Arabidopsis thaliana: one gene and its partner. The protein of the gene in region 2 interacts with the protein of the main gene of each other region in a biochemical or structural test. Each region holds a gene or a part of one and is shown on either strand. Other genes may lie near its edges.

Region 1 (4,535 bases), on a different chromosome or scaffold from region 2:
GGGTCCGATCCGAGGATAACACTGGACAGATGAACGCATACACAACACAATGAGAAAATAAAGGCTTATCTACCAGTAATAGTACAATGAGACCATTGCAAGCGGGTCCTACATTCCAGAATGTGCAATGAGAGTTAAGACATACCAGTCTTATTGATGTATGAATTGAGCTTTAGACCTCCTCTTTTCCTCTTTCGAGTATAATATTTGATCTTAGGCTCCTCAGGCATCTGTGCATAGAAGTGTTAAACCAAAAGGAGAGCCATCTCAAAGATAAATAACAATCATAAACAATACCTTCTCTCGAGTTGACTCATTTCCAAAGCCATTCTTCATTGGCACAGGGGATACCTTTCCTTGGGTTTTGTTCTTTGTTGCAGTTACCCCCAGGGTTATAGGTAAACCAGATTCTTTTTTCTGGAAAACAAAGACCATAGAACAATTTCAGGGCGTAGAAAACAAACAAGGTTATAAAAGAATCCACTAGCAGGGTTATGACCATATACCACATCATCAGCCATCTCATTTCCCGGTGGTTCCTTTGTCTGCACATTTCTGTTGCCGTCTAAAGAAGTTTCTTTCTGGCGTTTTGGCTGAAAATGGAAATAACATAACAACACTTCAATTAATCCTCAAAGATGTCACACTAATTAAACCAAACCAACACAATGTTGCCTGCAACTAGTGATACAATTTACCTTTGTTCTTTTATGCCAAACTCCATCTTCCCACTCCATTGGAGGCCTAATATCAGAGTGATTAAATTGCGATGCCTCCTTTGTTGCCCCGAAACTTACCATGTACCTTCCCTCAAAGACAATTCCCCTGACCACACCTTGACGCCATTCAAAACCACTAAACGCCTCTACATGATCCAGCAATTCATACTTTCCAACAGATAAAGGAGGCTGCATAGGCCTTAGTCTTAGGGAATCAACAATTAAATTTTTCGATTCCCGGCAGCTATAGGACTTATTCCAGTACTTGACAAGAAACCTCTTGTCCTTCTCCAACTCCTTAATGACAATTACCGGAATCCAAGCACAATCAAATCTCAATTCCACCATTGTCCCGCAACTAAAAACAGACTTGACCAATTCCTTCAAAGACAAAAAACAAACATACAACAACGGATAAAGTTAACAACTTTTTCATGCAAAGGCGAAACGATTTCAAAAAAAACTCATCATACCTTATTATCAGGTCGGATCCATTTGAAGCCGGTCCAATCAAGATGAACCCTCAATTTCTTTTTCTCAAACTGAATAATGTCTGGTGGGCAATCGAAGTAAACCAAAAACTTCTCATCCTCCATTGTTTTTACCACCACACCAGTCCACCACCCATCTTTGAGATAAGCGTCGACCATCAAGCCTTCTACAAAAACGACGCCGTCGTTCACATCCTCCGACGGGACAGGACGAATGAACCTCTGATCGACGAATTCCGTTAAAGGAGCCAAACGGTGTTCATTGAGCTGCGTCAAGTAACGAACTTTAAGCTTATTGTGTCCTGATTTCGTTGGATTATCTTCCAGAATCGCTCTGTAATAAGACCCTTTTAACTCTTCTTCTTCAGAAAAAACTTCTACTTTGTCGTCTTTTCTAATGAATATCATCTGCTCCATCTCAAAAACCCTTGAATGAAAACTAATAACGGCTCATTTTTGCTCTGCTAACCCTAAATCTAAAAAAAGACTTTTCTGCTGAAACCCGAAAACCATAGATATGATTATATGAAGGAGACTTTTTGCAACCAAAACACAGTGCTACTGTGTCTGTGCTTAGTGTCGATATTCACGATACACATCGGGGAAAGTGTGTTTTCTTTTTTTCTTTCCCAATTTACTTTTCTTTTTTTTTGGCGCTTGAAATTATGAGAAAATGATTTAAGAAATTATCAGGCCCAAACTATCTAATGGGCCTAATTAAAAACGGTGTCGTTTCATAGGATCCTCATCACGAAGCAGGTAAGTAAAAATATATCTTATCTTCTCCAAAACTCTCTCTTCGATTTCAGCAATTGCAATGGCTTCCTTCACAACAACTTCTTCTTCCTCGCTTCTCCTCAAAACTCTTCTCCCCGTAAGCCACCTGAATCGTTTCTCTACACTCTCTGGTATCCGCGTTGGCGATTCATGGACTCCTCTGCTCCGGAACATCTCCACCGCTGGGTCTCGGCGTCGAGTGGCGATTGTGAAAGCTGCGACGGTGGATTCGGATTACTCGTCGAAACGGAGCAATAGCAATGAGCAGAGAGAGACGATTATGCTTCCTGGTTGCGATTACAATCATTGGCTCATTGTAATGGAGTTTCCTAAAGATCCAGCGCCAAGTAGGGATCAGATGATTGATACTTACCTTAACACTCTTGCTACTGTTCTTGGCAGGTTCGTTTTCGCTTTCTTATTGATTCTCTTCGTTGTTGAATTAGTTAACTAATAGACGACATTTACTTGTGTTGCTAATGGACTTGTCCTTTGATTGAATCCAATGTTGCGTATAGGAAGATTTGGTTTTTTGTTAGATTAGGGTTTTTGATGATACTTTAGGGTAAGGGTTTAGTGAGCTGAGTAAAGCTTTCAGCTTTAAATTTGCTCTGAAGTTGACCTAGTTCCAGAATTTGTTCTTAATATCAGGTGTAATCTTTAGCTGACTTGTTTTTCGTCTCTTGATATGTGCAAACTTATTGAACATTGCTGCATATTGAACACAAAACATTGGTGTCTGATTTGATATCTAAAACTTTGTGCTCTTTAGCGTAATTATGAATGAAATTAGGGGGAAGAATAGAAGCATCTATTTTTGCATATTTTCTTCAAGCTATGTATAAATTGTAGGTGATTGTGCATGGTTTCTGTTTGTTAAAAACTTGATGTGGACAGTGTAAGCTAGTAATGTATGTAAAAGGAGTGTACAATTGTGCAGAGCATTAGATTGGGACTCCTGACTAGAAATTTCTTGGTATGGCAGGGAACGAGTTTGTGTTACACAACTAATGACTAAAACTTTAGTTTATTTGGTGCTACTCTCTATTTTAGAGAACTTTGATTCCGGTTTACACTATCCTGCTGATGTGATAACCAATTAATGTACTTGTGTCCATTTTCCAGCATAACCAGTTCATCGTGTTTGCTTATTATATGTACTTGTGTCTATTTTCCAGCATGGAAGAGGCGAAGAAGAACATGTATGCATTCAGTACCACGACATATACTGGATTCCAATGCACCATCGACGAAGAAACATCTGAGAAGTTCAAGGGTTAGTTAGTGAGCAAGAAGAGCCTTAGTCCCCTTATTGAAAGTTCGTCGAAAACCTTCAAGATACTGATCGTTCTGTCTTTTCATTATTTTCACAGGTTTGCCTGGAGTTCTCTGGGTCTTGCCTGACTCCTACATAGATGTCAAGAACAAAGACTATGGAGGTAACCCATCAAAGCCTGATTTTAAACTTTCTAGGATCTCTCTCTCTCCCAGTATCCATGTTCTGATAATTGAATCGTTCTTTCTCGGGTTTAGGCGACAAGTACATCAATGGAGAGATTATCCCGTGCACATACCCAACATACCAACCAAAGCAGCGCAATAACACTAAGTATCAAAGTAAGAGATACGAAAGAAAAAGAGACGGTCCTCCACCTCCTGAACAGAGGAAACCAAGACAAGAACCAGCAGCCTCTGATTCCTCTTAAACTATAATAAGATAATGGAGTGTTTGCAAGTTTTGATCTTTTGGTTAGCACTTAGCTTGTTGAAGTCGTGTGTAAAATCGTCTAGTACCAAATGATGATACTGTATCATCACACCTTGAACAATAGCTATTGTTATGTTAGGATGAAATTCAACTTGAACCATTTGTTTATTTAGGTAATGTTCGGTTTTGGTTTGGTTTGATTCTTTGTCAACCACTGCTTTTTCCCCACGTTTTCTCAACACCAATTTCAGACAAGACAAAACAATTGTAGGGTCACACACTCGTCACCAACTCACCATCTACATCAGTCGTCCCTACCTTATCAACACATCACATGGAAATAATACACTACTCTCTCACGGACTTGGAACCAAACATTCCAAATTAGTTTAATCGACAGATCACTGCTCAGCTGAATCGTTTTCTCTCATCAACCGCAGAGAAAGACTTTCAAGATCATCCTTCAAGCTCTCTCAAATGGCCAACTTCTATGAGAATTACCAGAGTCCTTACGATTACAATCAGGTTAATAATCTCTACGATCAAAATCATTATCATTACAATCAACAGCAGCAGCAGCTTGGTTTCGAACCAATGAGTTATAATTATTACAACTGGAATGAATCTGAATCTGAATCTGAATATGTTGCTTACTCTGGTTATGATGATCCAATGAGTTATAATTGTTATAACTGGAATGGATCCGAGTCTGAGACAACCTCTGCATATGTTGCTTACTCTGTTTCTACCATGTCTGAGCCTAAACACTTGTTCTATGATCCGAATCTCTATACAACCTACGAATCTCCTCCTCAGTTTAGTATCTATTGCTCTGTAGCC
Region 2 (4,572 bases):
GGGTCTTATCCAGGCACTTAAGATTATCTAAGCATTATATAAGATGGAAAGAATAAGCTTTAATTACGATGAGAATATAAAACCATCAAAAGGCCATAAACTTGGAAGCAGCAACTCGGTTCATTGTGCCAAAGTGGGGACCTATAGTGTGCATTCTGATTCAAGAAAGAGATGATCATGACCTCAATTGAAATTGTAAATCATTTTTAAAAAAAGTAAAGGGACTTCATATAGTCTATATATAGCATATTTTTATCATTAAAAATGTTTGTTTAAAGATTCAACTTAGAAATTTGATTAAATACTAGTATTACTTAACTAGTGCGTTCAAATTATTAGTAAACAAGATCCAACCTTACAAAAAAAAATCACACTTTATTGGCACCTCAACTGAATCTTTTATTTTAGTCGTCAAAGAAAAAAAATGGATTCATTCAAGCTGTAAATGGAAATGTGTCACTAAGGCCCATAAATCTATTTTGAAAAAGCCCATTAAAACTAGGTTCTTAAGTCTTAAATTGAAATATATCAATCTACTTTTTTCTTAATAGATATAATTGGTCATCATTAAAATTCTTGCATTGGCTAATTGCAAAGAAGAAATATTCGACATGAAATTTGTACATTTGGTGCTATTGTGGAACGCATCTTTTTTTTCATAAACTTTATCATATAAGAAAGAACTTGAAAAAAAAAGAGATTCTAAAGAAGAAAGATCAAGATGTCTCCAAGTAACAAGTTGCAGAAGATTCAACAGCTTCATCGAGCTCAATATCTCCACAAGTAGAGAGAATTGTTGCAAATATATAATCATCAACTTCAAATCCCTCTGCCTCCATTCTATACATTAGCTTCAATGCTTCCCTGCAAAACCCATTCCTCGCATAACCCATTATCATCGCCTTCCATGAAACCAAGTTCTTCTCAGGCATACTGTCAAAAACCCGAAAAGCTTCCGAGACAAATCCACATTTTGCATACATGTGAATCAAAGCACTTCCCACAAAGACATTTGATAGAGCATGATTCTTCTTTGCAATGGAATGGATTGATCTACCGATAAGAAGAGATTCTGAATTCGCACAAGCTTTTAAAGCCGAGGAGTATGTAAATGGGTTTGGCTCTACACCTTCTTGAATCATCTCTTTCAAGAAGTCTAGCGCTTCCGATTCATGTCCTAAGCTCGAACATCCAGAGATCATAGCGGTCCATGAAACCACATCTCTAGATGGCAATTGCTGGAGAACATTGAAAGCGTCACGAGATTCTCCGCATTTACAATACAGCCACACCAAAGTACTTCCTATATAGACATTCTTTTCGATCGAATTCTTGATAATCTGTGCATGAAGTTCCTTCCCCAACAATAAAGCTCCAACAGATCCACACGCTCTAAGAATGCTTACTACTGTCAAATTGTTAGCAATCAAATGCCGCCTCTTCATTATCCGGAAGAGGCTGATAGCTTCCTCACCAAAACCTTCCCGAGCATGAGCAGCTATAATCGAAGTCCATGTGACCGTGTTTCTATTACTCATTCCATCAAACACTTTTCTGCAATCAGAAATCTCCCCACACTTAGCATACATGTCCATCAGCGAAGTTCCCACAAAAACATCTGTCTTTATCATCCTCTTAACAACCAAGCTGTGTACTTGCCTTCCGAATCTTAACGCTTTCTCCTCACTACAAGCCTTCAAAATACTGCACACCGTAAACTCGTTAGGCAAAAACCAGTGATTCAACATTCCGATAAACATGCCTATAGCTTTAATTCCATGCCCTTTTCTCGAACACGCCGATATAACAGCAGTCCAAGATATCACATCTTTCTCCTCCATCATATCAAAAGCTCGTAACGCACTTGTCAATTCACCGCATTGCGCATAAAAATAAACAAGAGAACTCTCCACAATGAGATTCCCCACTCCAACTTTCACCATATTACCATGAACTTGTCTCCCTAACTCAAACTCTGCTCTCCTACTACACAGATTCAACAAACACACAAACATCCTCTCGTTCGTAAAACGTATTCCATGCTTCACATAATCCTCAAACAGTGCAAAAGCCTCATCCTCAAGACCATACTTCAAATACCCATCAATCATAGCAGTCCAAGTAACAGTATTTTTCTCAGGCATACTGTCGAACACTTTACGTGCATAAACCAAATCACCAAGTCTAACACAAGAACTAATCAAATTGTTCCCAAAATAGATAACTTGATCATCAAAACACTTCAACGCCATCGCATGGATCCTTTTAATGAGTCGCATCCCATTAGAAGACTGTAGCCACTCCGCTAACAGAGCATAATCAACTCTTTCGCTATCGAAAGAAGACGAATCATCCTGATTCACATTCTCTCCTTTGAAACCACTAAAACCCGAATCGAAAGATGCTCTCTTTCCAGAAACTAATCGAAACCCAGGTAATCTCACGTGTCTCTGTTCCTCTCGCTTAGTTCTTGAATCGCTACTGTAACATATCGTCGGAGATTTGTAGGATTGAGTCACCGGAATCTCTGAAATCCGGAGACGCGGTTGGATTAACGATAACGAAAACATTGTCGGCGATGGAGAAAGAGAAGAAGCTTCACACAGAGATCTCCCGCCGGAAAAAAAATCAGATAAAGTTCTCTTTTTTATTTATTTTGGTAAAGAGAATTAAAAGTTTATAATCTGATCTGGTAATTATGACGACAACAAATAATATCTCGGTCGGTTTCAAATTCCTAAGCGAGAGACAAATATACAGTACACACACGACTTAATATCAAAACCAATAAACGTAAAACACGTGTCTCATCACTTCCCACTTTCCTCTCTGCATTTGTTGTCTCTCTCTCCTGAAAACCCTTGAATTTTGCTACACGATCTCTGAAACGTGTCTCTTTGACTGACTTCAATCTTCTTTATCACTTACCGTTTCTGGGTTTTATGAAGCAACTGAGCTAATAAAAAGCTTCTTCTTAGACTCGGAAGAAGATAAAAAACAGAATCTTTATTGTTTAAAGCTTCCAAATTCGAGAAGAGAATTTGAAACGACCAAGTTCAGGATATTCGTTTCTTCGTCTACTTTGGTCTCTTCCTCTTCTCTTTCGAAAAGGGTTTATTCTGTCTTAAAAGAAACCTTTTTGAGAGGGTAAAAAAAGCTTCAATTTTCAGAGAAACACAAAAGGCAGAAACAGAGAAAAACAAATCATCTAATTCATGAAACAGGTGAGAATACATATTTTCTTCTTCCTTGGTCTCTTCTTTTTTTATTGATTTCATTCATATATCCAATTTTTGTGTCTATTGGCTGTTTAATTGTTGACGATGATGAATTCAGTTAGATAATTATGTGCATAGTTTAGGAATTTTTTAGCTATATCTTCTTCTCATGTGTAAACATAGAGGAAAATCTAAAAAAAATATCTGTCAAATTATTGTCTTTTCCAAATTGTCCTCATTGTCCTATTGAATCAAATAAGATTTTTTATTACTGATGATTCAAATATTGTTAATAGTTTATAACCTTGCTCAGTGTTCTTCTGATGTGTGATTTAAAACCTCTTGTCTCTAGGCTCTGATCTATGTTTTCGTCTCAAAGTCTTATTATCAATTCTCTAAATTGCAGGGTTCAATGAATAGATCGTGTCTCTGTAGTGTCTTAATCACCACTGCTCTGATTTGTGGTGCTTACTTCATTTGCAATGCTTATCTTGCTAAAGACTTTAAAGAGGTAAACTTCTTTGTATTTGGCATCACTTAAGATCTATATGTGTTCTATGATACTGTCATTTTGGTTAAATTGTTCAGCTGTCTTTTTGTGTAATCAGTAGTGTTTTTTTCCGACATGTAAATAACATGACATTGTTGAATAATTCTGGTTTTATAGTCAACATTAGAACAATAAGTTTAGATTTCTGAATTTGATGTATAAGATTATAAATCTGCAGAAGTTGCTGAAGTGGGAAATCACTGATAAGATGCATAACAGTACTGATAAGATGCAGAATGCAACAACAACCAGTACATGCAAGGTTTGTCTTTGAAATATTCTTTGAGGTTTGTTTTATGAGATTCTTTGATATTAAACTTACAAATATATATATCTTTCACTAGAATTTCAATAAGCCAGTGGGTACTGAAGCACTACCGCAAGGAATTATCGAGAAAACATCGAACCTGGAAACACAACATCTATGGAACTACGATGACACAAAAAAGGTTATTTAGTAGTTACATGATTCCTCAAAGATTTGGAAAGTTTCATTGCTTTTTTTTCGTGTAGCTTAATCTTTTGCTGTATATTTCTTTCAGAGAAGGCCTAACCATTCGATGAGTTTGTTAGCCATGGCGGTCGGTATCAAGCAAAAGGAGCTAGTTAACAAAGTTATCCAAAAGGTTTTGTTTTCTCATTTGATTGTTTCTATCAGCAAGATTTTCGTCTTTTATTTCGATTAGTTATACAAATTGCTGTGACTTCAGTTTCCTCCTCGAGATTTCGCGGTCATGCTTTTTCATTATGATGGTGTTGTCGATGACTGGAAGCAGTATCCATGGAATAATCATGCGATTCATG

What was found.
Region 1: the proteins of AT4G18520 (region 2) and MORF9 form a complex in vitro, tested with the Arabidopsis thaliana proteins (one study listed by BioGRID).

The regions. Positions count from the first base shown.
Region 1 is NC_003070.9:3,845,246-3,849,780, forward strand, and holds MORF9 (plastid developmental protein DAG), read left to right. Parts: upstream 1-1,974; 5' UTR 1,975-2,027; coding exon 2,028-2,389; intron 2,390-3,165; coding exon 3,166-3,263; intron 3,264-3,360; coding exon 3,361-3,426; intron 3,427-3,520; coding exon 3,521-3,693; 3' UTR 3,694-3,979; downstream 3,980-4,535. Other genes in the region: DUF2 (agenet domain protein (DOMAIN OF UNKNOWN FUNCTION 724 2)), read right to left, coding at 1-21, 146-230, 298-417, 507-593, 699-1,100, 1,193-1,627; AT1G11440 (uncharacterized protein), read left to right, coding at 4,173-4,535.
Region 2 is NC_003075.7:10,214,534-10,219,105, forward strand, and holds AT4G18520 (Pentatricopeptide repeat (PPR) superfamily protein), read right to left. Parts: upstream 2,682-4,572; 5' UTR 2,571-2,681; coding exon 717-2,570; 3' UTR 563-716; downstream 1-562. Other genes in the region: AT4G18530 (lysine ketoglutarate reductase trans-splicing-like protein, putative (DUF707)), read left to right, coding at 3,216-3,224, 3,625-3,729, 3,947-4,030, 4,113-4,217, 4,311-4,394, 4,479-4,572. UniProt on the Arabidopsis thaliana protein: Required for proper chloroplast development. Involved in the regulation of plastid gene expression probably through regulation of plastid-encoded polymerase (PEP) dependent chloroplast transcription.